4 linked regions of the Tamandua tetradactyla genome follow. The protein of the gene in region 4 binds, or shares a complex with, the protein of the main gene of each other region. Links are inferred from orthologs where the notes say so. Each region holds a gene or a part of one and is shown on either strand. Other genes may lie near its edges.

Evidence for each region.
Region 1: APBA1 (region 4) and LIN7B share a complex: the UniProt entries of both Homo sapiens proteins name them as parts of the brain-specific heterotrimeric complex. The link is inferred for Tamandua tetradactyla from reciprocal best matches to the Homo sapiens genes APBA1 and LIN7B.
Region 2: APBA1 (region 4) and LIN7A share a complex: the UniProt entries of both Homo sapiens proteins name them as parts of the brain-specific heterotrimeric complex. The link is inferred for Tamandua tetradactyla from reciprocal best matches to the Homo sapiens genes APBA1 and LIN7A.
Region 3: APBA1 (region 4) and LIN7C share a complex: the UniProt entries of both Homo sapiens proteins name them as parts of the brain-specific heterotrimeric complex. The link is inferred for Tamandua tetradactyla from reciprocal best matches to the Homo sapiens genes APBA1 and LIN7C.

The regions. Positions count from the first base shown.
Region 1 is NC_135342.1:12,006,645-12,014,102, forward strand, and holds LIN7B (protein lin-7 homolog B), read right to left. Parts: upstream 3,020-7,458; 5' UTR 2,997-3,019; coding exon 2,960-2,996; intron 2,632-2,959; coding exon 2,513-2,631; intron 2,266-2,512; coding exon 2,194-2,265; intron 1,578-2,193; coding exon 1,368-1,577; intron 622-1,367; coding exon 458-621; intron 113-457; coding exon 91-112; 3' UTR 4-90; downstream 1-3. UniProt on the Homo sapiens protein: Plays a role in establishing and maintaining the asymmetric distribution of channels and receptors at the plasma membrane of polarized cells.
Region 2 is NC_135333.1:150,094,476-150,101,679, forward strand, and holds the start of LIN7A (protein lin-7 homolog A), read right to left. Parts: upstream 3,004-7,204; 5' UTR 2,491-3,003; coding exon 2,409-2,490; intron 1-2,408. UniProt on the Homo sapiens protein: Plays a role in establishing and maintaining the asymmetric distribution of channels and receptors at the plasma membrane of polarized cells.
Region 3 is NC_135334.1:103,337,917-103,345,091, reverse strand, and holds the start of LIN7C (protein lin-7 homolog C), read left to right. Parts: upstream 1-4,151; 5' UTR 4,152-4,277; coding exon 4,278-4,314; intron 4,315-7,175. UniProt on the Homo sapiens protein: Plays a role in establishing and maintaining the asymmetric distribution of channels and receptors at the plasma membrane of polarized cells.
Region 4 is NC_135328.1:99,577,321-99,584,232, forward strand, and holds the start of APBA1 (amyloid-beta A4 precursor protein-binding family A member 1), read right to left. Parts: upstream 3,005-6,912; 5' UTR 2,786-3,004; intron 1-2,785. UniProt on the Homo sapiens protein: Putative function in synaptic vesicle exocytosis by binding to Munc18-1, an essential component of the synaptic vesicle exocytotic machinery. May modulate processing of the amyloid-beta precursor protein (APP) and hence formation of APP-beta.

The sequences.
Region 1 (7,458 bases), on a different chromosome or scaffold from region 4:
CAATGAGATTCAAAGATCTTTAAATAAGGGATGGTGACAATAAATACTGTACAGGGGTGGGGGCGGAGATGAGGGTCCAAATCTGTGGTTTTAGCCTCGAGACTCCAAAGACCTGCAAGGGGGTGAAGAGAAGGGAGCCAGGCTCAGTGGAGGGATCCTGGGAAGACATGGGAGAGGACCAGGACCCAGATTCCAGAGGCAAGGGCCCAGGGAAGTGGGTTCCAGATCTTGAGATAGGATTAGGCTAGGACCTCCCAGGGGATTTGACCAAGCCTTCACTTGGGTCAAGGGCCAGGAGGCCAGGGAAAAGAAGCCAGGCCTGGGTCAAGGGTCAGGGTGCCAGGGAAGAGAAGCCAGACCTGGGGGTGGCATTCAGGACCCTGGAATCATTGGCCTGGTTTGGGAGTCCAGGGCTATGTGGGGCTGTGGAAGGTCCCAGCGGTGACAAGGCACTCACGAGTAGCTCTGGTGCTGCTGGCGCCGGCGAGCGGAGCGCATCTTCTCGAAGCGGGCCTCCATCTCCTCCAGCACGCGGGGCGTGTAGCGCACCACCAGCTTTACAGAGCCCTGAGCGGCCTTCAGCAGCTCCACCGCCTTCTCGTGCTGCTCACCCTCAACGCTCTGCAGGGTGGTGCACCCACAGCTGGGCCCAGGGCTCATGGCCCTCTGCCTGCCCCCACCCCATAAACGGGAGTAACTGCTTGTGAGCACAGTACCGTCTCAAAATGCCAAGGCCTCCTGTCCCTATGGAGAGTTAACTCTTGGCTCAGTGTCCCCCCCCCCAACCTTTCAGGTTCTCTATGTCAGGTGTTAGGGATGACCCTATATCCCCTCAGTAACTGAACCTCACCTGCAGGCTCATCCTCATTCCCTACTGCCCTCAGTCCTCAGTTCTATCCCTCCTGCCCCTATTTCTTCTCCTTTGTCCCTCCTTGCATGTCCCAGACCTCCATCAAGGCCAAGCCCTTTCTCTTCATTTCAGAAGAGTACAAGACTCACAGCTCCTACCTGCAACAGCCTCAGCCAGGAATACCCTTTTTCACCTTGTTTGCCTGGAAAACTCCTGTTCATCCTTCAAAACCCAACTCAAACATTCCTTCCTCATTCGGATTGGTCTGATGCCACATCTGCTTTCTCACAAGGCTTTGTGCTTCCTCCCTCACAGCACATCATCTGGATCAGGACTATTTCAGTCAGGGTCTATCTGAGAGGCAATCCTTGAGTGTACGAGCTGAGGCCAATTTCTCACAGGGTCTGCAGCACTGCCCAGCCGTGTGGGCAGTCCTCAATCACTTTGTGTTGAATGAATGAATGTTAAAAGCAGGGCTGTGCCACCTTGGACAGACTATGCCTCAGTCACCACTCACCACACCATTTACGGACAGCAGCTGGTCCCCACGCTTGAGGCCTCCGTGACGGTCAGCCACGCCCCCGGGAATGACGCGGGAGATGTAGATGGGGGAGTTCTGCTCCTTGCCACCCATGATGTTGAAGCCCAGGCCTTCGTCTGTCTTGGGCAGCTCCACCACCCTGGGGTGAGCGTGGCCCTCACTGGCCGTGAAGGCGGCCACCGTGGCCTGGGAGAGAGACAGCATCTGGAGTGGATGGCCCCTCTACGGTGGGCATGCGGCCTGGGGTGGGGGATCTGAGTCTGGGAGGCAGATTGCTTTCCCCAGACATGGGGCGTCTGCCACAACTCAACTCCAAATCACCTGGTGATGACCATGTGCCTCCTGCTTTCACTCTAGGTGCTTCTGATTACTTCGGAAAGAAGTCTCGGTTTCGTGTGTATCTTTACCCCCCAACATCTGCCAATCTCACTTTCCATCAGTGGGAAACAAGCAAGGCCTAGAGGGAGCTGAGAGCCTGCAAGGAAGCTACAGGAAACAGTGTCTAACTATATTTCACTACGATTTCACTGTTTAATGACAGTCACTGTTTTCAACGTATAGATTTCTAAGGTTACCTTCTAGTCAGGAGGGCAGTACTGGTTTCCATTTGTAGTTGTCAAGGATGCCTTTGTAGGACTTTTGTTTGAGTAAAAAACATGAGAGTATTTCGAGGAAATCATAAATTTAACGGTAAGGGTGGTACAAAAGATTTGGCAAAAGGGATGGCTGACACGAGAGAGACACTGAGCTGGCCCAGGCAGTTCGTTCAGACCAAGAGGGATGGGGGGCGGGGGCCACCTACCTTCGCGGTGGCGTGGGCCCGGGTCTCGGCGCTGCCTGTGATGTCCAGCGTGTCGTAGAGCTGCTCGTACACCTGGGAGGGGACGCTGCAGCTTCGGGAGCCGCCGGGTCCCTTCTCCCTCGCACTCAGGGGGCCAGGCTCCCACACTCCCTCTTCCCTCCCACCCAGGGGTGCGCCCCGTCCCCGCAACCCGGGGCCCGAGGAAACTACAACTCCCCAAGAGCCCCCGAGCAGAACCGCGAGCGCCACAGGGCGGCCGGGCGCTGCTGGGACGCGTAGTCCCCGGGCTCCGGGCGGCCGGGCGCCGCGCGGCTCTCACCTCCCGGATGGCGGAGCAGAAGCGGCTCTGCAGGACCCGCTGGAGGGCCTGCAGCTTCTGCGGGGGCAGCTCCCCGCTGCGCTGGAGCCGCTCGAGGAGCTCCACCGCCCGGGACACGTCTGCGAGGCGGGGCAGGGGCGCAGCGAGGCGGCGGGAGAGGAGCAAGGGCGAGCGCAGCCGGACGCCCGCAAGGACAGAACAGAGCCGGTGGGCGCCGCGGTCAGTCGGGCGCCCCGCATTCCCCGGAAGGGCCCCCTCCCGCAGCCACTGTGCGGGGGCGTGCGGCCGGTGCCCCCCGCTGCGACCCGCGGACCCTCCCACGCCCACAGACCGCCCGGCCCGTCAGGCCCCGCCGGCTCCCCGCGTCCCCCGCGCAGCCCTGGCCGCGGGAGGGGTAGGCACGCGGGACCGGGGCCGGGGCGGGCAGGGCTCCCGGGGTGCGCTTACCCCGCTCCAGCCCCAGCGGCTCCACGAGCGCAGCCATGGCACTGCCGCCGCCGCCGCCGCCGCCGCCAGCCGCCCCCAGCCGCCCCCCTGCCCCCGCGCCGGCGAGGGGGGCGGGGCTGCGCGAGGCCCCGCCCCGCGAGACGGGCGCCCCCTGCCGAGACGCGGCCCCGCAGTGCCGGGGTCCCGACCTGCCCGTCTGCGCGTCGCGCTGCCTTGCCTCCCCCCACCCATCGTTCTGCCCTGTTTGCAGTCACTCCCACAGTAGTCTCTGTTTGTCCGTCCTTGCCACCACACCCGTCTGTCCTCTCCATCTGGTCTTATTTCAGCCTTCATTCGACAAACGTATATTGGACGCGGTGATGAGCAAGGCAGACGAGCCCACTCCATACACGGAACTTCGTGTCTAGCGGGAGAGGCACAACCAACTGCGGCTGTGACGAGAATCGGGAGTGGGGAGGGATGACCGAGGAGAGGAAAGACGCCGGCGCAGAACCTGGAGTAAGAGCGCCCCGAGGTGGGCGTGGCCCCCCTGCCGGAGGAGCGAGCAGCCTGCAGAGCCCTGGAGTTTGAAGGCCTGGAAGAAGGGCCCCCGGGGCTGGGTAGCAGAATAAGGATCGCAGCGATTTAGAATAGCGGTGGCATGTGGGCGTCGAGGAGCTTTTACTTCCTGCGAACCCCGTGATCTTCAAATTTGTATTTGAAGATCACGGGGGCCACTGTGTGGAGAATTGGATGGGAGCAGGATTAGGGAGGAACATGGTGTCCTCTTGCACCAGTGCGGAGGTTTGGAGGAGGATAGATTTGGAAAATATCTGGGTATGATTTAGGACTAACCAAATAGTGGAATAGGGAGTGGGGAGGAGGCCTAGGGCATATGAATATATTATGAAGATGACCTAGCCAAACCCCCCAAATTTCCAACAGTTAAAGTCAGGAAGAGGATAAAGAATGGCCAGAAAGGTGGAAAACCAGGTTGGAGAAACCATAAGAGAGTGTTTAAAAAAAACGAGTAGTCAGTGGTGTCGCATGCCAAAGGTAACTGGAAAATGTTTACTGAATGTAAGACATGGAATCATTGGTTACTTTAGGAAGAACACTCTGCAGGTAGTACTGGGGGAGAAGGCCAGACTGAAAAAAATGGACATAGGAAACGCTGACAAGTCTTGCCCCTCCATATTCTGGTTCAGCTGGATGGGGAAATGGATGGGTTCTCACAAAGTGGGGGAACTACAGCAGGTTTGGTTAACCCTGTCTCCTTCACAGTACTTTTTCTTTTATTTCTTTTTTAAAATTTCTATTACGGTAACACATACAACAAAAATTTTCCCATTTTAACCACTATCGTGTATAATTCAGTGAAATCACATTAACAATATTATGCTACTACCAACACCACCATCTGTTTCAACACTCTGAACTCTGTACTCAACAACCAACAATACCCATTTGCCCACTGCCTAGACTCTGATAACCTGTAATATACTTTGTCTCCATGTAAGTGAAATCACACAAATGTGTCCTTTTGTTTTACTTATTTTAGACAACATGATGTCTTCAAGTTTCATCAGAACTTCATTCCTATTTATGGTTGAGCATAATTCCATTGTATGGATATTCTTACTGGTGGATGCGAGTTGCTTCCACCTTTTGGCTGTTGTGAATAATGCTACAGTGAAGTTTTGTGTACAAATATCTGTTCATGTCCATTTCTAATTCTTTTGGGTATATACCCAGGAATGCAATTGCAGGGTCAAATGGTAACTCTTTATTACCTCTTTGAGGATTCACCAAACTGTTTTCCACAGCAGATTCACCATTTTACATACTCTGTGTCTTCACCGACACTTGTTTTCCTAATAATAGCCATCCTAGTGGGTGTGACGTGGTATGGCATTGTGGTTTTGATTTGCACTTCCCTGATGTCTAATGATGTTGAGTATGTGTATGTCCTCTGAGAAGCACCTGTTCAAGTCCTTTGCCTATTTTTTTTTTTTTTAACATGGGCAGGCACCGGGAATCGAACCCAGGTCCTCTGGCATGGCAGGCAAGCATTCTTGCCTGCTGAGCCACTGTGGCCCGCCCCCCTTGCCTATTTTTTATAGGTTGTTTTGCATTTTTGTTGAGTTTTAATTCTTTATAATTTGGGATATTAAACCCTCATCAGGTACATTCCCAAATATCTTCTCCCATTCTGTAGGTTGTCTTTTCACTTTCTGGATAATGTCCTTTTATGCACAAAACCTTTTACTTTTGATGAAATCCAATGTATCTTATTTTTTTCTTGTGTTGCTCATATTTCTATATCATATCTAAACCTTGAGAAAGGCACAATTAGGAGGTCCGTTTTGGGCAATGTTACAGATTCAATAACCTGCTTCCTAATACTGCCTAATACAAGGACCCGAAGATTTTCCCTGTTTCCTTCTGAGTTTTATGATTTCTTATGTTTAGGTCCTTGATCCATTTTGATTTTCTTGTTGCTGAAATGAGGTAGGTGGTGAAATTCGTTCTTTTGTACCATTTCCTGATTTATCAATTTTAGATGTTATTAAATATATTACATATAGGCTTTCTGTTCTTAGTCTTTTCTCTCTCTTCCCTTGATAGTCTTATGGTACCAATTTTTAATGAAGTCAATAAAATGCTAATATTATTACTGTAAATATTGTTTATCCTAGAGCCCAGGTTAGTGTTCTGTGATTACAGTTATTTTGAACAGCTTCTTGCTTTTTCTTTGGTTTCTATCTACCTTTTTTCCCCTTTTATCACATTCTGTTTCTTTCGAACTCTGTCGTAAGATATTTTACTGAATCCTCTCTTTTTATCCTGCAACTTCAATCTTCTTACCCCAAACTGGACCCAGCTGCTCTCTGGAAATCTCTGGGACTTCTCTTCATTGCCCTGCTGAATAGGATCCAACATCTCCATCCTCGTTTTGATGGAGAATAACCCCCACATCATAAAAAGGCTTTCCTTTTTCATTATTTCCCTTATTTTCAAGAAAGTCTGCCTATTTATTTTTCCTAACACTTTTAGTGTTCGTAACATAGACTGCAGGTTATTGAATCTGTAACATTGCCCGAAACGGACCTCCTAATTGTGCCTTTCTCAATCATCCTGTTATTTAGTTAAACTCTTTGTATTTTTCACTGTTTTCTCCTCTCTGGGCCTCAACCTGGATACTTCACACTCTTCTGTCTCTGGCTTACTAATCTTCTGTTCTGCTATGTATAATCAGTTAATAAATTCATCTACTGAATTAATTTTCTTCAGTTTTAGAATTCCCATGGCTTTTTGGGAGGTGGGTAGATTCCAGATCTGTTAAAATTCTCCATCTTTTCCTTATTTTGTGGTTAAAGTCTCACTAACTCCAACATCTGAAGCATTGCTGGGTCTGTTTCTTCAACTTTTTTTTTTTTTTCCCTCTTTCCATAGTTTCATTCTCTAACATGTCTGGTAATTTGCTAGGCGCTGAGCACTGTGTATTAAAGATCAGAGGCTGTGCCAGGCCAGGGCTCCAGGGTTCCTCTGCCCTTGGACAGTAGTGGGGGTGCAGGCAGCGGGCGTGGAGGTGGTAGGGACAGAGGCCGTGGGGACAAGTCCTGAGGAATTGGCTGCCTGGGCAACTCAGCTGCATTGTTATTGGTAAAATGACGTCGACAAGTGAAACGAAGGGCAGCATGCCAAACACTCCAAAACTCTTGAGTTTTGCATTATTTATTTTTCTCTTTTTTAAAAACACAAGAGCATTGAATCAAAGGGATTCTGAGGTTTTTTTAAAAAAAAAAATATTTTAGTATCTTACATTGCTAATTGTACAAGCTTTATATGGAAGCATAATCCTATGATTTTTTAAAAATGCAACTTTATTGAGATATAGTGTTTCATTTGTAATTCATCCAAAGTACATAATCAGTGGCTTGCATTATCACCACATTGTAACCCCATGATTTTTAAATAAAAATAGCGAAAAGATTTTAAAAAAAGATCAGAGGCTGGGTGGGTAGTATCTTCCTCCAGAGTTTTCTTCTGGTTGTCAGACCACCTCAATCCTGGTAATGTTCAGCCTCGGCTTCCTTAGGCTGGTCCATCTCAGTTGTCCCTTACTCCTAGACTGTGGCACTGGGACACTCAACCAGACACCCCACTTTGGAAGGCCTTGAACACCAATTCGGCTTCCCCAGAACTGCACGGCTGCTCAAATCTCTGCTTAGTTGTTTAGCCTTCCAGTTACTGTTTTCTGGTTTCTTGGAGGTTTTGCAATGAGCATGAGCCATTCAGAAACTGCTGAATGCCTTATGGGAAGACTGCATGTACATCTGGGTACTCGATTCGCTCCTATCTGGGAACTCTGCCTTCAAGTCCCAGCTACCGGATCCGAGTTCTGTGAATTCAGCCTAGGGGAGAACTGACACTTTCTGAGAAGAGTCCAGTACCCAGGGTAGACAGGTGAATGCCTTCCAAGAAAAAGCAAGGGTAAACATGAAGACCACTTTCTA
Region 2 (7,204 bases), on a different chromosome or scaffold from region 4:
GCATCAAAGCAACCCAGGAGGAGGGATGATGATCTGGAAAAACTGAGTATTAATATTGATCAATCAAATTATTGACTATTAAAGCTGCAGTGTCAGCATCATTGATTCAAACTTGTCATATGGTTTAGAGAGAAACTGAGGCCCAAAGAGGTTAATTGACTTATCCAAAGTGAGTATCAAAGTTATCCAAAGTGAGTATCAAAGTCCCAACTGGGACCCAGATAAGTAACACTGGCTGCCCTTTTTTAAAGACTTTTACTTTGGGGAGGAAAATTTTCAGAACTTCTTCTTTCATTAGTTTAATAATGAGAGTATAATTGATGGTATTTTATAAGAGAAAACATCTTGACTTTTCAGAGATGATGCCAATAACCCATCATTCTTAAATTATACGCTCCAGGAGCTGCTGGAGAGTTTATTCAGGTGCCTCTACATAGCTAGCTAGCCTCCTGAACTACTGTGTGAACCTAATCTCACCTGCGAGGACAGGTAAAGTTTGATTTCCAACAAGAACAAAACTTTAAGAATAGATCTCAGTCTCATTATCACTTCCTCTCAACATCTGTGTGTTACATCTAAGGACTATAGCAAAAGTTAAAAAATGAAATGGTTTTTATTATTATTAATATCATTATTATATTAAAACGCTCAGGTATAACTCTTTCTTGGGTTTTCCCCCCTTATTTCATTTCATTTTGCTTAGGATGTTTAGAGATTATGATTTAGTAATGGTAAAATGTAAGAGCTCATCAAATTGAAACAAAAATGCTTGGGAAGTCAGTAATTTCTAATAGCTCGCCATCTGGCTGGCTTTTACTGTCAGTGCTTGAACCTGCTCAGTGCAAATGATGATATTGCTGGGAGAAATAACGGATTATGCCAGGGATTTCTGAGCTCTTCAACTACTGTTATTAATTTACTAGTTTGCAAATTAACATTTCCCAATATAAAATCAATTGGGAATTTTTGTTTGTTTTCTTTTCTTTCTTTTTTTCAACTCTTACTCCAAGTAAGGTTGCTACAGGCATCACAAAACATCTGTTCAGGCGCCAACAGCGTGAAGTCACCACAATTTCTGCAAATTAAAAATCTCGAACTGCGTTCATAGGGTTTTTTTCTCTGTGCTCACAACAGCGTGCTCTTTGCTTTGTCCCACCGTCCAGTTTAATCCACTAGAAAGAATATTTTTAGAGGCACCTCGGACTAAATCGTGTTTCCTCTGAGCACACCATTACCAAATGGCCGCTCAGGGTCCTAAATCCGGTCGCTGCAGACAGCCACCAGCGGGTGCCCTCAGCTGCAAGCCGCGGAACTCGAGCGCCTTCGTTACTAGCCGTCGGAAGCCAAGGAAAAAAAACCGAACACACACAGGTACTGCCCCGCCTGATGCACTATTGAAACCCGGCAGCAGATTGCAACGGAGGACTCCACTCGTTTGGGGTGGTCCTGCGGAGGAAGCCAACGCGGCTTCCCATTCAAGTCAGCGAGAGCAGGACGCTCGGGGTCGCAGGTCAGAAGTTGAATTTTAACGCACCCTGGGCTCGCTCCCAGCGCCTTCCGCAGCCCGGGCACCGCCTTGGCGCCGGGCTGGGAGGCGAACGAATCTGGCCGCGTGGACGAGGAAGGTCGAGGGAGATTAGAAACTGCTCACTGACTCCGCCGAGGAGCTGCCGGCGGCGGGAGCGGGCGCAACCCTCTCTACCTTTGGGAGCTCGAAGCCGGGGACAGAGGGGCTCGGCTGCCGCGACGCGGCGCTCCCGGCGGGACTCAGCTGTGCGCTCCCCGCATTGCCCTTTCGGCAGAGGGCAGCTCGGCGCCGCCGCAGCCCAGCCGTCGTGCGCCCGGGCACGGGCCATCCCCGGGGTGCGCCGTGCGGCTCCCGGGACGGCCTCCTGGACACTCGCGGCCAGACAGAATAGCACCCTCCACCCCCAGCCCCTGAGGCTCGGGCAAACTTCCTTCCTTCCTCCCGGGCCACGGTCCTCCTTGGCTGGCAGGCGGCACCCTTGCCCGTCTTCTCCGGTCTCTGGCTGCAGGCGCCCTCGGCCGGCACAGCGAGCGTCCTCTCTGCCCCTCTCCAACCCCGAGCCCGGGCGCCTAGTGGTCCCCGCACATCTGCTCCAACAAAGCCCGAGACACGCAGCGCGGCCAGGCGAGGGGCTGGGAATGGTGGCAGGGGCGCCGAAGCCCGGCTAAGGAAACCCCCGGCCGGGCGAGTGAAGTGTTAAGGGGCGGCGGGGACGTGGCAGGCAGAGAAAGGGGAAGAAAGTATCCTGCTCTCGGCGCGAACGCCTTCTTGGCTCGTCCTAGCTCGCTGGAGCGCGTCCCTCAGTCCCGGTGGGAGTTGGCTGGGCCCAGCGGGGGAGGCGGAGGGGACTCGGTGACCCGGCGGCGGGCCGCTCCCTTACCTCTGTCCAGAGTGAGCGGCTGGACCACTGTCAATGTCGCCATGTCTGCCGTGGGAGCCGGAGTGACGCTCGGCTTCAGCATCAGCAGCCGCTTGTAGTGAGAAAAAGAGGAGGAGATTGGAGGCGGGGGTGGAGAGGGAAAACGGAAAGGAGGGGGAGGAGGGGGAAGGAGGGAAGGTGGTGGTGGCGGAGGAGAAGAAAGCTTGGGCGGGTTGTCAGCCAGATGGAGCCGCAACTGTTCCGCGGCGGGCAGACCTTCCGACGCGGCGCCGAGCCGAGCCGGGATCGCAGAGCGCCTGCTTCGCCCGGCTCTGGGGACGGGGGTTCTGCCCCAGAACTTTACTGCTCCCCCGGGAGCGCTGGGTGGGTGTAGCTGGCGTGGCGCTTTCTTTTAACTTTCCGCTCAAATAAAACGTATATGCGGGCCGGGGAAAGAGAAGGGACGGGAAGGGGGTATGGGGGTGGGGGGAGGGGAAATGAGTTTTTTCAGATTAAGAAAAATCGTCAGCAAGTTAATCCTATCTTATTAGAGAGAAAAGGCTTCTTATGTCGGAAACGTTGGTGGTTAAGGATGGCTGCTGTTAATTTCTGTTAAAGTTCTTTTGGAATGTTGACGTATAACAGTGCACAGGATAACGGACTTAAAACCAGGGTTCTAGCTGTAGAAGTCCATTAAAGACCCATGTAAATGACCTAGAAAATAATTTCTCTTAAAAACCAAGTTCTTAAAAATGTCTTTATATCAAATATGAAGGACAGTTTCTATTACTAAGTTAAAAAAAAAATGTGTACCAAAGCTTTTTCGCTTTCATAACCAGTGATTATCACCAATGGCTACTCAGGGTTGCCATTTACTGATTAATTAACAAGTTTGCCAGGAATTTGCCTAAGAGTGTTAGGGGCCATGTGTCATATACTACTTTGAAGGTTCACTACAGTCCCTGCCTTTTGTAGCTTGTGGGAGGTAATTTTATTCAAAGGCTGGCTTTAGAGTCAGTTGATCATAATCGAATTACTAGAACCTCTAAATACTATCTAGCTGTGTCATCCCACTCTGCCAATAAACAGGCTGCTCTCATAATCTTGCCATGGTAGGGACTCTATTTCCTGGTGAAGAAATTAAGAAGCATAGAGAAAACCTCTATAAGAAAGATGATGATGACTGTGGGTTCAAGACAAAGCTTCATCCATTCCCTTTCTTGTGGCAAAGCAGAATTGTTTCAACTAAGAAAAAATTCATAAAGGCAGACAGATTTTGCAACAAAATATGTGCATATAATCTATGCCTCTTCTGATTACATTATGCATGATTTCTGCAGGTCTTTTCCGTTTTATGGTCTGCATTTGCACAACAAGCAATATTTTTCACCAAACCATTGAGAAAGTCAGAGATGATTGACCATACATCTAACAGACCCTAAAGACGCACCTGATGCCTATATTTTCATTTAGTGTTGTAGAAAAAGCTCTGATCATGCAATTGACACCTTAGTACAGTACCCTTCAGAAGTCACTTAATCTTATACTGATCCTCAGTTTGCAGGGATGTCCTTCAATCACACTGAGATTCTGTAATATGAGAGAAATAATTCTATTCACTGAATTGTGTGAAGGCCAGACGAGCTCATGCCCAGGGAGGTGGCTTGAAAAAATAAGTATATACAAATTTATTCATGCCACAAACATTCATTCCCCTGAACTGTATGTCAAACATTGGACGAGGCACTGGGCATGCAAACATTGAAGCATGGCCACATTTCTGAACGTTTGTCAGTTGGGGTTGGAAGACAGAATCGTAAGCCACGAGAACTCCTTGCACCAACTCCTGTAAGCATCATATAAAGGAAGTGCTGTGGGAGGCCAGAGGAGGAAGCAACAAATTCATGGCTGGTTATCATTATCCACATAGCTTAAATCAAACAGCAGAGAAAGAGTTGTACACAATAAAAATGATTTCCAAGGTTTTGCAAAAAGCATCAAACCTTATTCAGTAATGGGTGATGAAAAGCACAAACAAATCCTTTGGCCACTAAAGTAGTTCTTTTAACAAGCTTTATTATAAATACATATTTGAACAGCTTGGTTCAGAAATCTAAAAGCCATAATTTTACCTAGTCCAACACGAATCCCAGATGATAAGGGCCCATGAAGCAGGGATTTTTATTTTATTTTGTTTCTCTTTGTTTCCTGATGTATCTCTAGAACCTAGAACAGATTCTAGCATATAGCAGACCCAATAATAGTTAATCAATGAGCAAAGGGATCTTGACTCCAGCATCAAACATTTAATGCCATGTTTCTGAACTTACGTCTTGAAATTCCTAAATGAAATTTTGACCTCTGGTTCTCTTTCTGTGTTGTCTTTTTAGGATTTTTGGGAGGATTAAAATAGATAGTTAAGAGGAAGTACAAATCACCATATATTCATCAGTTATTATTTCTAACAGTAACAACTTCAATGAATGAAGAATAATTCATTCTCTGTTATATTTTGCTCTTATGAAGTATGAATAACTAACCACTGCCTCTTCAATAATGTTTGTAGATTTCTATTTGAGATATATAAAGGTATAAAATAATTTCTTGAGCCATTTTTGCTTGGGTAGCACAAATATTTTCGGGGCCACTCCTTTATCAACCATAGCGTTTAATCAAGGTCAATATACTTGACCTATTCATATGCAGCGTTGCTTAATTGATTGCATAGTAATCAGTGAACTGTTAAAAAATGCAGTTACACTTTTAGCTATTCAGGTACGCCTTTCATTTGCATACGGTGTTTCATTATATGGTATATAGTTAGTAAGTTCATTGTAACTTTATTTTCAATAGACTGCATTAATTTAGTCAATACTTACTGAATATTTTCCATGCGCCAGGCTTGGTGCTAAGTTGATCTTTCTCTCCCTCTCTTTCCAGCCCAGAAAAGTAAGTATTGCTGTCTCTGAATCTCAGAGAGCTTAAGAAACTTGATTAATAATAGGACGTGGAATCAGGAGCTCCTGTGCTTTCTATTAAGACACACCATAATTCATTCTGTATTATTGAAGGGTTAGTGATTTCAGCCCTAAATTTCAGAGTTCCAGACATATACACATCCTTTTTCCTTTTCCTTTGTGCTTCAGACATACTTGGAGAGAGGAATGTATGGAGAAAAGTTAGGTCCAAGAAGAAAAATATTATAATACTGATTCTACTCTATATAAAAAATAGATTGATATCAAAATGAATACCTACTTTGAAATATAAAATTTTTTCTTATTAGAAAATACATTCAAAGCTATGTTAAGATTTATTTCATTTAAATGAATCCTTTAAAATTATGTGACAAAATCAAGGGAAGCTTTACCTAAAACCAGGAAAATGTGTTTGGTTGGATTATAAGTGGAGTATAATAAGCACAGTCTCTTATGAGAAAATAGCACCTTCAAACTGGAATTCTTTCAGCCTTGAGTGTTAGAAATTATTTTTGACTGACTCAAGATATCACATTTTCTTCTTTAATTCACACAGCTTTGTCAAAATAGCACTAGTTTTTGATGAAGTGTCAACCTATATGTTAGAATATAAATGTTTGTGGGTTTTTGGAAAAAAAGATGATCATATATAAAGCATCTTACTATATTTCATCCTTGAATCTGTTTTGATAGCTGATAATTTGTCTGTTCATTCAACAAAGTTACTGTGTGCCAGGCACCGTTCTAGACACTGGAATATAAAGGTGAACAAGGGAAAAAGTCCCTGTGCTCACTAGGATTACATTCTGGGGTGGGGATGGGGGTAAAAGCAGTCAAAAAACTAGTAAACAAAAAAGGGATTAATTGGTGACCAAGTGCTGTGCTAAGAATTAATAATTTGGTGATTGAGTGGGTTCTAAAATGTCAGGATTCCAAAAGGCAGATAAAGGGTAAAAGATATCCCAGGTATCAGGAGAGTAAAGCCAAGGATGGGAGAGCAGGTTGGTCATGTTTGCCAGCAGTCAACAGCTCAGTTTGGACTATAAGAAAAACAAGTCTAAAGAGGGCCATTTTGAGTCCAGTGGTAGAAGGTAATATAAATAACAAAAATGTAATGAAACTCTTATGAATTACTTGTGCCCATCATACGATAGAATGTATAAAAAGATTTGCACTAAGAAAAAGATTGATTTTGCAGCATCTACATTAAAAAATACTAACATCACAATAAGGAGTTACTAATTTAGAGTTGGATGTTAGGAAATTAAATATGAAATAAATATATAAAAAGTCAATATATTTTACATTTCCTTCAAAATAAATGAAAAAGAACTTTGATGAAGGAGATATGAAATCCGAATAATTATTCCTCTGTTGTAGGGTCTTATTTGCATTTTCTTCATTATTAGTTATCATGAAAATCTTAAGTATAAATAATTTATTTTTTACTCTGATTTGGCCATAAGGCAATAGCATAATATAATTCATGAGTGCAAAGCTCTTCAGGTTTTAAGTCTTCAGATTTTAAGTGTCTTATGTATTCTATTTAATTCATAGAATATAAAATGATTGTTTTATTTCATTTTGAAATTAATGTTTTTCTGTTTTCACATTTGGAAGTTATGTTTAATCTTTCTTCAAAGAAATTTAAATTTAAAACTTGCAACTCTTCTTTTTTCTTTCTACACTCCAATCTCAGGCTCACACCACTGGGAAAGCCTAAGACGTAAAATATGCAAGACAAAATGACTTTCAAAAGTGATATCGGAGTTATATTTTTCTCACATCTGCTCAGGGGTTATTTCCAAATTTTTGGAACCTACAACATTTATCAGTTTT
Region 3 (7,175 bases), on a different chromosome or scaffold from region 4:
AAATTTCACAATTTCTAGTATCCAGTTAGAAAAAAATAACAGGTATGCATAAAGCAGAAAAATATGACCCATAAAGAGAAGAGAAGTCAATCAATAGAAACAGTCTCAGAAATAGGATAGAATAACATCATAACAGATAATAGAATTAACACAAAGGAGATTAAAATTTTAATTATAATATTGTATTCTAGATGTTCAAGAAGCTAAAAAAAATTGGGAATGTTAAGTAAAAAAGATGGAAGACATAAAAGGAAAAAATGAAATCAAACATCTAGAGATAAAACTACAATGTCTGAGATGAAAAATGCACTGGATGGATTTAAAAGAAGATTATATATTGAAAAAGAAAAAAAATAGTGAACATGAGGATGCAGCATAGGAGCTGTACAAAAGGAAACAGAAGAAAAAAAAAAGATTGGGAAGAAAATGAGACAATGTCTGTGCAAGCCCAAAGACAATGGAACAGCATCTTTAAGGCAGTGAAAGAAAGAATAATGTTGTGGGGCATTGAATCATGTTCCTCACAAAAGGCAAGCACATGTCCCAATCCCTGGTCTTGTGGGTGTGAACCCCTTTTGTAAATAGGAATTTTGAAAATGTTCTTGGTTAAGTTGTAGTGAATCAGGATGAGCCTCAATCCAATATGGCTCACATCCATTTAAGCAAAGGAAATTGCACACAGAAAAAGAAGCCACGGAAGCAGGCTGAAATTGGAAATCAATGGAGCCTGTAAGAGAAAGGAGAAGATGTGGCTATGTGCATTGCCATGTGATAGAAAAGCCAAAGATCCTCAAGGACTGCTGGCCAGCTGGAAGATACCAACTCCAGAAGGAAATAAGCCTTCCAGTTTCTAGAACTGTAAGCCAACACATTGTATGGTATTTGTTTTAGCAGCCAGAAAACGAATACACCTTTCAATCTAGAATTCTATACCCATCTATACCCAAAGATATCGTTCAAAAACTAAGGTTAAATAAAGACTGTTTCAGATAAAGGTGAAGTAATTCATTACCATCTTGACTACAAGAAATGCTACAGGAAATTCTTTAGGCAAAAGGGAAAATAATTACAGATGAAAATCTTGAGCTACAGAAAAGAACAAAAACAATGAAATGGTAAATATAGGTAGGTAAATATAAAGATCTCTTTTCTATTTTTAAAATCTTTTTTTAGAGATAATTGATTATCTAAAGCAAAAACAATGGCAATCCATTGAGGAATTTTATTTTGAACTTCCCGCCTCCCCAGGAGGGGGAATATGGGATAGTACTGTTATAAAGTCCTTAAACTATGCATGAGGAGGTATAAAATTACTTGACTCCAGATTTGGATAAGATAAAGATGTATACAATAAACCCTAAGGCAACTACTTTAAGAAAGAGGGATAGAGAAAGAGATACATGTAAAAAATAGGCCCAGAAAATAAATAAAATAGAATCATAAAAAATACTTAATTGATCCAAAAGAAGATTTAAATGGTGATAAAAAGTAACTAAGTACAGATGGCTCAAATAGAAAGCAAATAGCAAGCTTATATATTTAAATTCAAATTTATCAACAATCGCATTAAATGTAAATTATCTAAATTGGATAATTTTATCCTAATTGAATAAAAAGACCCAATTACATGCTGACTATAAGAAACCTACTTTAATTACAAAGACACGAATAGGTTAAATATAAAAGAACAAAAAGATATACTATAGCAGCGCTAATCAAAGAAAACTCAAGTGGCTGCATTAATAGCAGAGAAAGCAGATTTAGAACAAAGAATATTACCATAGATAAAGGAATAAATGCATAATGATAAAGATGTTAAGAGGAAATATTCTAAATATTTACGCATCTAATAACAGAGCTTCAAAATACATGAAACAAAAATGAACTGTGAAGAAAAATAGGCAAATACATGATTTAATTAGAGATTTTAGCATCCCTCTTTCAATCATTGATGAAACAAGTAAATAGAAAATCAGTAAGGATTTTAAAGATTTGAACAACACTATCAGCCAACTTGACCTAATTGACATTTATATTACACTCTATTCAATAACTGCAGAATTCATATTATTTTCAAATGCACACAAAACCTTTAATAAGATAGATCATGCTTCTGGGCAATATAACAAGTCTTGATGTATCTAAAATAAATCAAATCATACAAAATATTTTCTCTGACCATGATGGAAATAAATTAGAAATAATAAAAAGATATCTAAAAAATCCACAAGTACTTGGAACTAAATACCCATTGGGGGAAAGAAGTTATCAAAAGAAAAATTAGACTATATTTTGAACTGAATGAAAAATTGTGGGATGCACATAAGCCAGAAGTTTTAGGGAACCTTCAATTCTAAAGTCCTCTGTTAGAAAAGGAGAAAGGTCCCAAATGAAAGGACTCAGTTACCACCTTAGAAATCAGAAAAAAAAGAAAGCAAGCAAAGTAGGCCTAAAGTAAGCAGTCATCTACCAAATTTTAGGAAACAAATATTACCAATTCTATATAATCTCCTATAGAAAATTGAAGACGAAGAAATACTTCCCAATTCATTCTATGAGTTCAGCCCATACCAGACAAAGACACTATAAGGAAACTTCAGTTCAATATTGCTTATAAAAATAGATGTAAAAATTCTCTTAAAATATTAGTAAATCAAGTCTAACAATATATGTAAAGGATATAATACATCATGACAAGTGGGATTTGCCCCAGGAAAGCTCAAGAATTTTTACATCTATTTTACATCATACAGCTGGTAAGAGATAGAGCCAGGTAGTCTAAGAACAATGTCTGCATTTGTCTTATTCAACATGATATCCTCAGTGCCTAGGAAGGTGCCTAGTAGACATTATACATGTAATAAGCATTTACTAAATACATTGTAATAGAACAAATGACAATGTAAATAACAGATAAGCACCTGAGTGCAGGGCATAAGGGAGGTTGTATGGGGAAAGGAAGTCTTAGTGGAAGTGGCTGTGTCTTCAGTAGGGATGTGGAGGATGGGTTCAACTTGAGGGTATACACACTTTAGAGAATCAGAGGAGATGTAGAAGAGCATTCCAGGCAAGAAAAACAATGAATGAAAACCTTGTAGCAGGAATAACCATGGTTTTGGGAGGGGTGACGCTTTATGGGGTGATGAGAAACGAGGTTAGATGGGTAAGTTAGGGTCAGAGAATACAAGGCTTTAGAAATAGAAAATAGGAGAGAAACCACTGAAAGTTTCTGAATAGAAACTTTTGATGATGAAATTAGTGTTCAAGGAAAAAACAGAATGCAGCAGGTGACATTCATGATGGATTAGGGGAAGAAAATATTATAATTGGATGGAGAGGGTAGGCTGGGAGCAACCGGGAAGTTGTTAAAACTGTCTTGTCATGAAGAACAGAAAACCTGCATGTGAAAGCACCTAATACGATGTCAGCACAGACTAGGGCTTGGGTAAACGTCAGTAGGATCTAAATATTGGGAAAATTAATACTTCATTTAAATTAGGGACTAAAGTTTTTTTTGGCTCATAAAATTTTCAGAAGTGCTCCTAGGAATCTGTAATGCATTATTTGCTTTATAAAGTTACATTTATACATTTATCAGCAATTAGAAATTATTCTGTGATGTACCACAATGCCTTGTTTTCTCCCTCACCATATGTTTCATGCTCTTTATACTTTCCACCATCCTTTACCTTTACTCTCAAGCAGATTTTTAGGGAAGAGTTGAGTCTTGAGTTTTTTAAATTAAATAACTGCTTACCACAAAAAGAAATCTGCCACGCATAGGCACTTTATTGACAATATTTCATCTACACAATCAATTGCCACCTCAGAGATTGGATTCCTTCGTCGCACAGATGAGGAAACTGAGGCTGAGAGAACGCAGGTAAAGCATTCAAGGGTCAGTGCTGCTAATGGTGACGCAGGGACCAGGATTCCAGGCTCCCACTGACTCCTCTACGCGGCGCCAAGGGTTCCAAGCAGATAGGATAAAGCTTGAATCCCGAGGCAGGGTGCAACAGTCAAGAAAAAGGCTCTTGTCAATCTCGGGAGGCCAGAGGATTCGACAACCGGGCATCTGTTTGAGAACCGATAGAAAACACACCGTAAGAGACTCGGGAGCTCCCCGCACAGGGACTTCAACAAATCCCAGCACTTCCGGAGCCCTTCCTGCTCTCGCGATACCATCCGGCCCTAGCCCGGGGGCTCACGGCCAGGTTCCGCCCCCATCACAGCCCCTCTGTCGTCATTTCCTGTGGGGCTGCGGGCAAAGGGAGAAGATGGCGGCACTGGGAGAGCCTGTGCGGCTGGAGAGAGGTGAGTAAGGCCGAACCGCGAAGAGGGGGTTGGACGGAGTGCTGTGTAGCCTGAGGGGCGGAGGGGCGGCCCGGGAGTCCGCCCCGTGCCCCGCGCTGGCGTCGGTGACCGCGGTCGTGGCGGCGCCGGGCCCTAGCGAGGGTGCTCGCGGTATCCTGACTGATACCCAGACTCCGCCTCTGCACGCACGGTTTGTCTCTTGACATAACACTGTCACACACGCCTTGCCGGCGTTCGCAGGCACACGCCACACACGCGCTGCCTGGATGAGCATAGCAGAAGCAGTGTTCAGAGACGAGTAAAGCGGAGAAAGTAAACACACTACCAGCTCGTACAGACACACACACCACTTACAGATTTCGTTATATAGACCTCACGCCCTACCTGTATGTAAGTGCGCACAAACCCAGTGTCCCCGTCTTCACCCACGTATCGCACACTTCCCGGTCACACAGCACATTCCCAGAAAACCCTATAAACTCCATTGTTACTTTAAAGCACATCCTCACTTTTACTTGGGGTGGGTTATTTCCTGGCTTTGTGCCTTCCTAAGTGCTTTTAAAACGATCCTACTTACTTGGTCTTGGGAGGGTGATTACATAACTGGATCACCGTTTCCTAGGTGGAATAGTGGTAGATTGTAAAGTATTTGAAGATGCACTTCTTTTTTACAAACGCTGCAGTTGCTAGCTGTGGTTGGTTGCTTGTTTTTTATAGAAGACTGTCAAGGAAAATAGAAATTTCTCTTCTGAGTAAAGAAAGAATAAAAAGCCTGTGAAAAATACGTGCCTATACCCGTACCGGGATGTTGTTAGAGATTTTCAGCATTCCACTCTTTTCTCCCCAATTTCTTTATTTCACGCAGTTTCAAGCAAGCTTTGATACACCACGTAAGAAGTCTGCTAAGAACCAAGAAGTACAAAATAAACATTTTGAGTACTAGTACTAAACAAAGCCCAGGATGAAGATTGAAATTATCTTGCAGTGATTAATATTTGCAGTTATAGTCAGTATTAAATAGGTCCTATAAGAAGAATACATTTTTAGAATGATTCTAGGAATACCTCTCTCCTCTTCAAGTCACACAAACAAATGAGCATATTGTTAGTTTGTTCCTTATGGTGTTCACCATTTAGAAATTTCTTACAGATGAGTTTGTTTCTCTTCAGCTTACCAAGGCATTAATTAAAGCATGCTTTCTGACAGAGAAGTAGCTACTCTGAGAAGATTTGCTAAATTAAGCTTAAAACGGTAACATCTTCCTCCTGAACATAATGGCATTGTGCTTTGTAGATGAGAACAAATCTGGTGTTAACAGGAGTAGGTGTTTTTTTCCTTTGAAAGCCAGTTGTAGCATTCTAACACATTGGCATTCATTTGTATTTTAAGTACAGCACAAGATAATGTGGAACTTCACTCCTGGCATTTAGTTTTGGTAGCCATGGCTTTGTTTTTGCTGTTTCAGAATTATTTTCCTTGGTACAGCATGCTCAGCACCTTAGTAGGATGAATTACTAATGATAGCCATTTAAACAGGATGAAAGAGTCAGTACATCAACTCTGATTATTTTGAATTCTGTTTCACAGACTTTATTAACAAACACTTTCACCCATCCTGCAGTGTAAAGTTGCTACACATAATCAAGATCCTGAGCGCCTTCTAAAGCATCAGAATGTGATTCTTTGGGACGCATTTGAGCATATATTAGGTACAATTTAGATTCAATAAGAGAATTTAAAGTCTACAGTCTGTTAATTGGAAGTTTTTATATGGGTTATGTCCTATAACTTTGTAAACAAAAATTTGATGAACCAACAGTCCCCATTCTCCAGCCATTCTAGTAGTGGGAAGTCAGCATGGGGAAGGTATGTTTTTGTTTACATTGCATTTGAACAGCATCAGTTTAAGCTTTTATTATTTGAAACTTTCTTCACTAGATTTACTCCTAGTTTTCCAGCTGCAAACACAAAGCCATACTAATTCTATAAAGCAATTTTTCCCATCCTTCAGTGTAACATAAAATTTAGAACTTCTTCGAATAAAGACAGAAGGAGGCAAAGGATAGTAGAAAAATGCTGCATCCACCAGCGGTACAGAAAAAAATCAAAGTAAGCATAGTTGTTAATAGTGTTGTAAAACGTATACAAATCTTATAAAATATTTTAATTCATAAAATATTTGAACACTGGGCGGGCCACGGTGGCTCAACAGGCAAGAATGCTCGCCTGCCATGCCAGAGGACCCGAGTTCGATTCCCGGTGCCTGCCCATGTAAAAAAAAAAAAAATATATATATATATATATATATATATATACATATTTGAACACTTAGCGTTATACTTCCCAATCAGAATTGCCTAACATGCTTAATGTAGTTGTATAAATTTCTGCAATCTCTTATTATTTTATATAATTAATTAGCACCAATTTAATATTTGTGTTTGCTAAATGCCAGGCCCTGTTCTGAGCACTTTATATTTATTATTTGGTTCAGTCAGGTAACTCTTATGATGTGAATTTGTTGTATCTGTTTTATATTTGAGGAAATTGAGACTTCAGGGTGGTTAAAGTAACTTGTCCAGGATCACACAGCTAGATTTAAAACCAGATGACAAAATTAATTGTTTTTATTTTTTTATTCTGTAAACAAAAGTATTTGATCATGCTGGTCTTGATTAAAACATCATGTTAATGATCCTAAGTTGAAAGTGCACCAATCCATTATTTTCATTCATTTACTATTGTTTTAAATGTGTTCCTGTCACTAGCATCAGGTTATTAAGCAGTGCGTATCTTTGTGTGTGTTGTGTTTTTCTTTGGGAAATGAATAGTGATTTCACTAGCATGTAGTGGTTTGTACT
Region 4 (6,912 bases):
CTCTCAATTTTAGCAACAACAACTTTTTCCTTATAGGATAAAAGTCCTATTTTCCTATATTACCATAGTTTATTCCTTTTACCCACATAGGTCAGTTTGCAAATGTCTTTTACTTACAAGTCTTCTAGAAAACAAAGTTCTTTAAGAGACACAAAATGGAAGAGAAACGCATTAATGCTACTTAAAGTGAAAAAAAGGCATACTTGCAAAACAAATGGCCTGCTGCGGACTACAGCAAAAGGTAAACGTGTTTACCAGACTGAATTACAGGATTCAAGCTGTATCATTAACCTTAGCAGACTAACCTTTAGGAAATCCAGGTATTGCATATTAAAAATTATTACATTTACATAAGAAAGGAAATTACTAATATCTGAATCATCAATTGGATTGCTGTATAACTCCTCTTACTTTAAACATAGTTTATTACCTTGGAAATTCCTGATACTGTTGAACTTTCATGTAAGACATTTACATCTCTGGATTTTACTTGCAAATATAAAGATGACATTAAAAAAAAAAAAAACCTCTTACAACGTTTTAAAATTCCGTAAGTACTTTTCTGAGAAAGAGATTTGGCAGAACTAATAAGAAAGTAAGAACTAAGATGCAAAATTTATTTCTATAAAGCTATCCCTAAATCTTGGATGAGATCCAACAACCTCACATTAAAATTTTAAAAAGCTTTACTTGAAGGACATGGGGAAACGGGGAAATACTTCATGATGGCAGCTTCAAGAGCACCTGGTCTCTATATCATCATTAATTAAGAAAAGTGGGAAGGAAAAAAGCGATATATGGATAGGTCTAGTTTTATTATTATTTCCAATTTAACAATAATAGCATGCAACCTCTACCAAAAAAAAAAATGTTTTTTTTAAAACAAAGGAAACAAGAAAAAGAACTCTGATGCCAACGTGTTATATATTTACCTGTGTAGCCATGACTGCTACAGGCTTTTCAAAGAGGACTGGGGCAGCCAGTTTGGATTCTGACAGCAATGCAGTAGAATTTAAGATATTATGACCAGAATACATTCTAGGCAGGTTAATCTAGTCATACAACATTTTAATAAAGAGGTACCAGTATGTTAAGCATAAAGGTGCACTAATTCTTACGAACACCGCGGGAGAAACAGAGGCGCAGGGAGTCAAACCGCAGTGGACACACACGGGGATATACCATATGCCTTCCTATCTCTCTCTACCCATCCCCACACAAGCCTATCTTTATCACGCAGAGACAATTAAACAGACATAGACTCTGGGTGCATCTCTGTCTCCTGGCTCCCACTGGGTGACCTATTGCTAGCCTGACATTTCTCACATCCCCTACTAAGGGACTACACCAGGCAGGAAGGCAAGGACTTCATCCATCCAAGACACCATCATCATCGGCCTGGGGGGTTTCAGTTTCCAATGATACATAGCCCTACCTAGCCATTTTGAAAGGTAGGAGAGTGGATGTCACTAGCAGCAGAAAGAAAGTATCCACTTTCCTCAGGAAAACACCCTGGCTGTGTGATGCTGACCAAGGGGATGCCAAACAGGTCTCAGTACAATTTTCTTCTTTTAAAATATTCTCTCCCTCCCCCCATTTATCTCTATCTATACATACCCCCACCCCTAGAGTTCTTTCTAAAAGAATCATCACAAAGACCACCCACCCTTCAGCCACAAGGACCCCAGTGTTTAAATGTGAAGGGGGAAGGTATAGTTGGACACTGGCATTCAAAACTGTGGGGACAGGGAGAGGAATGGGTCCATTAATGACCTCCCTCCTTCAGGTCAGACAAGAGATAAACAATAGAAACTGCAGAGTCAGGGCGTCTAAGACCCCTACAGAACATAGGCTAAGACCAGGAGAAAGTGTCTCGGGGTGGAAGCCCCCTTAAAAAGGGGGGACACCAGCACGCCCAGAGAGTGTAACCATGATCTTGTTTCCCTGCCATGCGCCCCACAGCTGCATGCCCACTTCCACATCCCCGCGTCAAGGGGCGGGAGAAAGGGGAAACGAGAATGCCGAGACCGGAGCAATCCACACGCAGGAGCAGAACAGAGACTGTACTGAGTTTCAGGGTCAAAATAACAAACTCTGTACCACAGTTTGGGCTCGTGAGAGCAAGTCAGGGGACCAACAGATCCCTGGGTTTGGGGCGCAGTTTGGGAAGCCTAGATGAAATCACACACGTGCACACACATACACACACTCAAACACACAGGATTTTACAAACCCGCCCCTTCCTCACTCCCTCCCTCCACACTTCACACACCAAATGCATCTTGCCCACCTCACCATTTCTATTACGGCACTCCTCCCGGAGAGTCAGTGACAGATGAGGGATCCTAGCGGGGGTTCCTGGAAATGTCATCCCCAACACCTCCGGTCCAATGCCCTCACCCCACCTCCTCTGCTGTACCTACCTCTCTCCCTCCCTCTCTCTCTCTCTCCCACACACACACACACACACACACACACGCACAAGTCTGGTCATGACTATCATCAGGCCCGCCAGCTGCCCTCAGAGCCCTGGCATCTCAGCGTGCATCTACTCGGACACCAGGCGACTCTCCCCTCAATGCTCCCTTCCCCCGCTCTGCCAGCTCGATGGCTAAAGGCATTGCCCCAGAAGGTCTCCTGCTGTCCCTGCTTCATCCGCACTATTGTTCCACGCAGCCCCTTTCGCGCCCAGGGGCACCCTTCGACGGGGACCCGGGCTCCGTCGCCGGCGGCATCAGCGCTGGGCACCCCCACCCTCCCACACGCCCCTCCCTGGCGGTGGTACCTTGCCTGACAGCTGGATCCGCTGGCCCGCGGGAGCAGACGGCGCTAATGACAGCGTCTGTGCCAAGCCTGGGAATAAAGCTCCGCTCCAGCCGCTCCTACCTCCAACGCCACCATCTTCTGCCGCTGCCGCTGCCGCCACCGCTGCCGCTGCCGCCGCCTAAACCACCGCCGCCCTCACCCCGCTCCGCAACCGCCGCTCGGGCCCCTCAGGTCCCGCGGCCCCACCCCCTTCCCTCCACCCGCCTTCCAGCCCTCCCGCCTGCGGGCTTGCCCCTCGTGACGCGCGCCGGGCCGGGGCTGGGCAGGCCTGCGAGGGAGGGCGCGCGCGCGCACGCCGCGTGCTAGTAGCGCCCCTGCCTCCCACGCCCACCCGCCTGCGCGCGCAACGCGCGAGCTCGAGGCACCCGCGTTCTCGGCGGGCCGTATTCCCTACGCGGCTCGGGTGGGTATGGGGGGCATCCGGCCCTGTATCTGTTCCTCGCGCCCAGACCCGGCGAGCGAGCCTTAGAGTGCGTTCGCCCTGATCCTGCGCTCTCCGGCCACTTCTCGGTCTCCGGACTGGCCGGACAGAGAGAGGGAAACGCGACTGCCTCCCAGAGGGGACTAACGGAGACCTCCACCCTTCTCAGCGGAAGCCCAAGGGGTCGGCGATTTCCTAATCCGCCGTCTTGGCCAACCTCTGTGCGTAGGAGCTGACCACGAATTCGGGCAACCGCGTCGGCTCCTGAGGGTTGTTCTCTTTCCTTAGTTACTACGGAGCTTTCCCGCTTCCCCGGCCTCTTAAATACTCCCAGCACTTCTCCGGAAAGAAGATTGACAGGGTCTCTGGAAAGCGCTGCAGTTCTCCGTTTCCGCCGCACGGGGGAGAGCCGCGGGTTTGGACCAGAGCGAAGCTTGGCCAGGTTGCGGCCCTGGTGGGAAGCTGCCGAGTCCCGTCCGGAAGAGCAGAAAGTCTCTGTATTATCTTGCCGGGAAATGTGTGGCGTGGGTTTTCTTACCCGCTTCTCAGTTCTGGTTGATTGGAGCTTAAAGTGTATTTGAGCCTGGGTTAGGGCATCCGCCCCAGTTATGGCCTCTGGCTCGGGAGAGAGGGGGGGAGCCCTTTGCAGCAGGAACCAGGTAGCAGGTGCTATGCATTAATGAAGTGCAGTGGGCTGATGAGGTCTCAGGAGGCCAGGTCCTGGCGCCAGCCCCGCCTCTAATTAGCGGTGAAAATGAACCACATCATTTCCCCCCTTCGGATAAAAATTCAGCGGTAATCATAACAACTTACATTTGCACACACACTTAAGAGTTTGCAAAGTGCTTTTCGCACACATATTCTCATCCAGTAAAATGAAAATAAGCTTTGGTTATACAGAACCCTTGGAAATGGATCTTTTTTTTTTTACACCATGTTTCCATATAGCTGAGAATTTATTATGTTAAGCACAATGCTTCCAGAAAAATATGGGGGCGTAGCCTGAAGCATTCTGGAAGTCTTGTGTTTTAGCTTTTAAATTCATATGAATTTTTCATTCTATCCATAATGAATCATTTTTTCTTAAATAAAGAAAACAATAGCTTCCCCCTCAAAATCAACTTTTAGTAAGACTGAAATATTATATATTGAGATATATCATGCTTGTCCTTGCTATGTATGTATTTGTTTTTTAATATTTATTCAACATATGTCCAAGGCAGACAAGGTCCTTGTTCTCTCAGGGCTCTCAGAAAACTGGAGGAGATAAATACTGAACTATTGGACATAATTAAGTGCAACTCTGACAAGTGTTCAATTGGATGCTGAGGTGTTAGGGGTGTCCTAGGGAACCTAATCTGTACTCGAAGATCAGGTAAGCCTTTCCAAGGAAATGGCATTTCAAATTACCCAGGAGAGGCAGAAGGGAGACACTACTAGGCAGAGAGAAGAAAGAGTGCAAGCAAGCAGGTAGGGCTGGAGTGAGGAGTGTGTGTGAAATGAGTCTGGAGAGGCAGGCAACAGCATCTTGAAGGCCATTTTAATTAAGGATTTTACCTTTTTTGCCTTAGAAAGTCACTGAAGGTCTGTGAGGGCTGAGAGAAGCAATCATGATCACATTACAATTTCTGGAAAAAATCCCAGAGTGATGAACCGACTTCTGGAGGGTCAGAGTCCAGGACTGAGAGACTCAGAGCAAGTCCCAGTTTATCCTACTTGGCGAGGGTTTGGAGTTTTCAAAATTTACACTATCTGCAATTGTTTGTTTAAGTTCTTGTGTCTGCTTTCATAAGTGACAGATTTGGGGGCTTTCAGAGTGCCTCCCTGTAACAGTTCCTGTTTTGTTACTTGTAAGCTCCTGTAGTTTTAGGAAGGGAATTAACTAACCTGGTTAGAATTCAGGTTAGATAAGAGGAGGTAGATTCTGAGAGGTTCTTTTCTATGCATACACTTGGTGCCATCTGGTTTGACATCTCTGAGATCTTTCTGCTTATTTTCTACTTTTTGTGCTGTGTCCCCAGTTAGACAAGGTTCCTAGATGCATGAGAGGCAGTACATTATTGCTTTAATAATACCTTCCCCTTCACTCTTGCATCACAGGATTTTTGCGCAGATTAAGGAAAGTATGTGAAATTACTCTGCAAAGTATTAAATGCCATATAAAGGAAAGCAGTAATTATTATAATGGCAGATTAGAGACCTCCAAAAACTAATTAACCACCAAATAGTCATATCTGGAAAACTTCCTCCCTTTCCCTGATGAAAAACACAGCTATGTCTATTCCTTATGGACAATGCAGATCATTATCACAAGTGTTCATATTGTGCTCTGCGCCTTGGCTGGTAGGAAACTCAAAGCCATATCTGCAGCTCATTCTAGGAACTGGTGGAACCATATGACTTTCATACCTGTTTTAACTCTCCCTTTGATCTGTCTGTTCTATCTATAATTATTCTGGGCCTGCTTTACTAGTAATTTTCTTCTTTATTAAAAGTATTCGTATAAGCCACATCAAACATTTGTATCCACCTACCCCCATCACAAGGGGCAAACTGCTATTTAATGTTTCAGAAAGCAATGTAGTGGACACTGGGAACCTTCCAGCCATTGTGGTGACAGTATCAGGTGACAATACTATTGACACTGTGCCAGGTGACTTGGGTTTATATTAGAGCCGTGTCCACCAGTATAGCCTTTGTTATGGTTCTGAACAGCCAAAATTGGACTCGCCTCTCCTGATAGCAGTCAAAACTTTTTTTGATTTCATGTTCTTCAGTGATTACTTTCTTTGCATCTCATCCTTGAGTTTAAATCCTGTGAGCTGAGGTTGTATGTAGGACACACACTCAACAGGCTGCAAGTAACGAAGATTTTCTCAAGGATTTCAGTTTTGCTAACCCTTGGTAATCCAGCATCTTCTTATTTACAGTATAGTCATGTTTGTCATCGCATTTTAAATGAATGAACAAAATATGCCATTATGAAATGGACTTATCCTAAACTTTAATATGTACACTTTGAAATGCTGATTCTTATTTCACCAATTTTTTCTTTGGACATGAATTCTGCCCTGGCTACAGATGGGACTCCTTTTCCTTTCTGTTCTCTGAACAAGTTAGGCTGTCTTTATCGTTTTCCTGAATCTCAGACCCTGTACCCTTTAATGATTCCAACCAGAATTCAGTGCTATGACTGTTTATCTGATACACTGGAAGACATTCTCGTGCCTCATATAGTATTTCTGCCTCTGAAATGAAGTTTGAGTGAAGCCTGTCATGGAAACATAGAGTCCTTTTTCACTAGTGGTTCTGTGTGGGATATATTCCCCTCTCTGAATTAATCTCCAGGGCTAGGGGAGTGGGTCACACAGACTGGCTTAAACCAGGCACCCCTCACTACTGGAGCTGGGTCAGTTGTCCCCAGATGACATGGCTGGTTGGGGATAGAGCAAGGTCTGGGTACCATGAAGAGGAGGAAAGAGACAAAGGGGAACAAAAACATCACCTATCTTGTTCATCCCAGGCTCATAATGGTAAAAATCAGAAATTTTCACCCAATGTTCAGTAATAAGGGTATTGGTATGTAGAATGATATGCCTTTACAGTGGAATATTTGCAGCTTTTAGAGATACTGTATCTACATATTTTTTTAAATTTTTAAAATT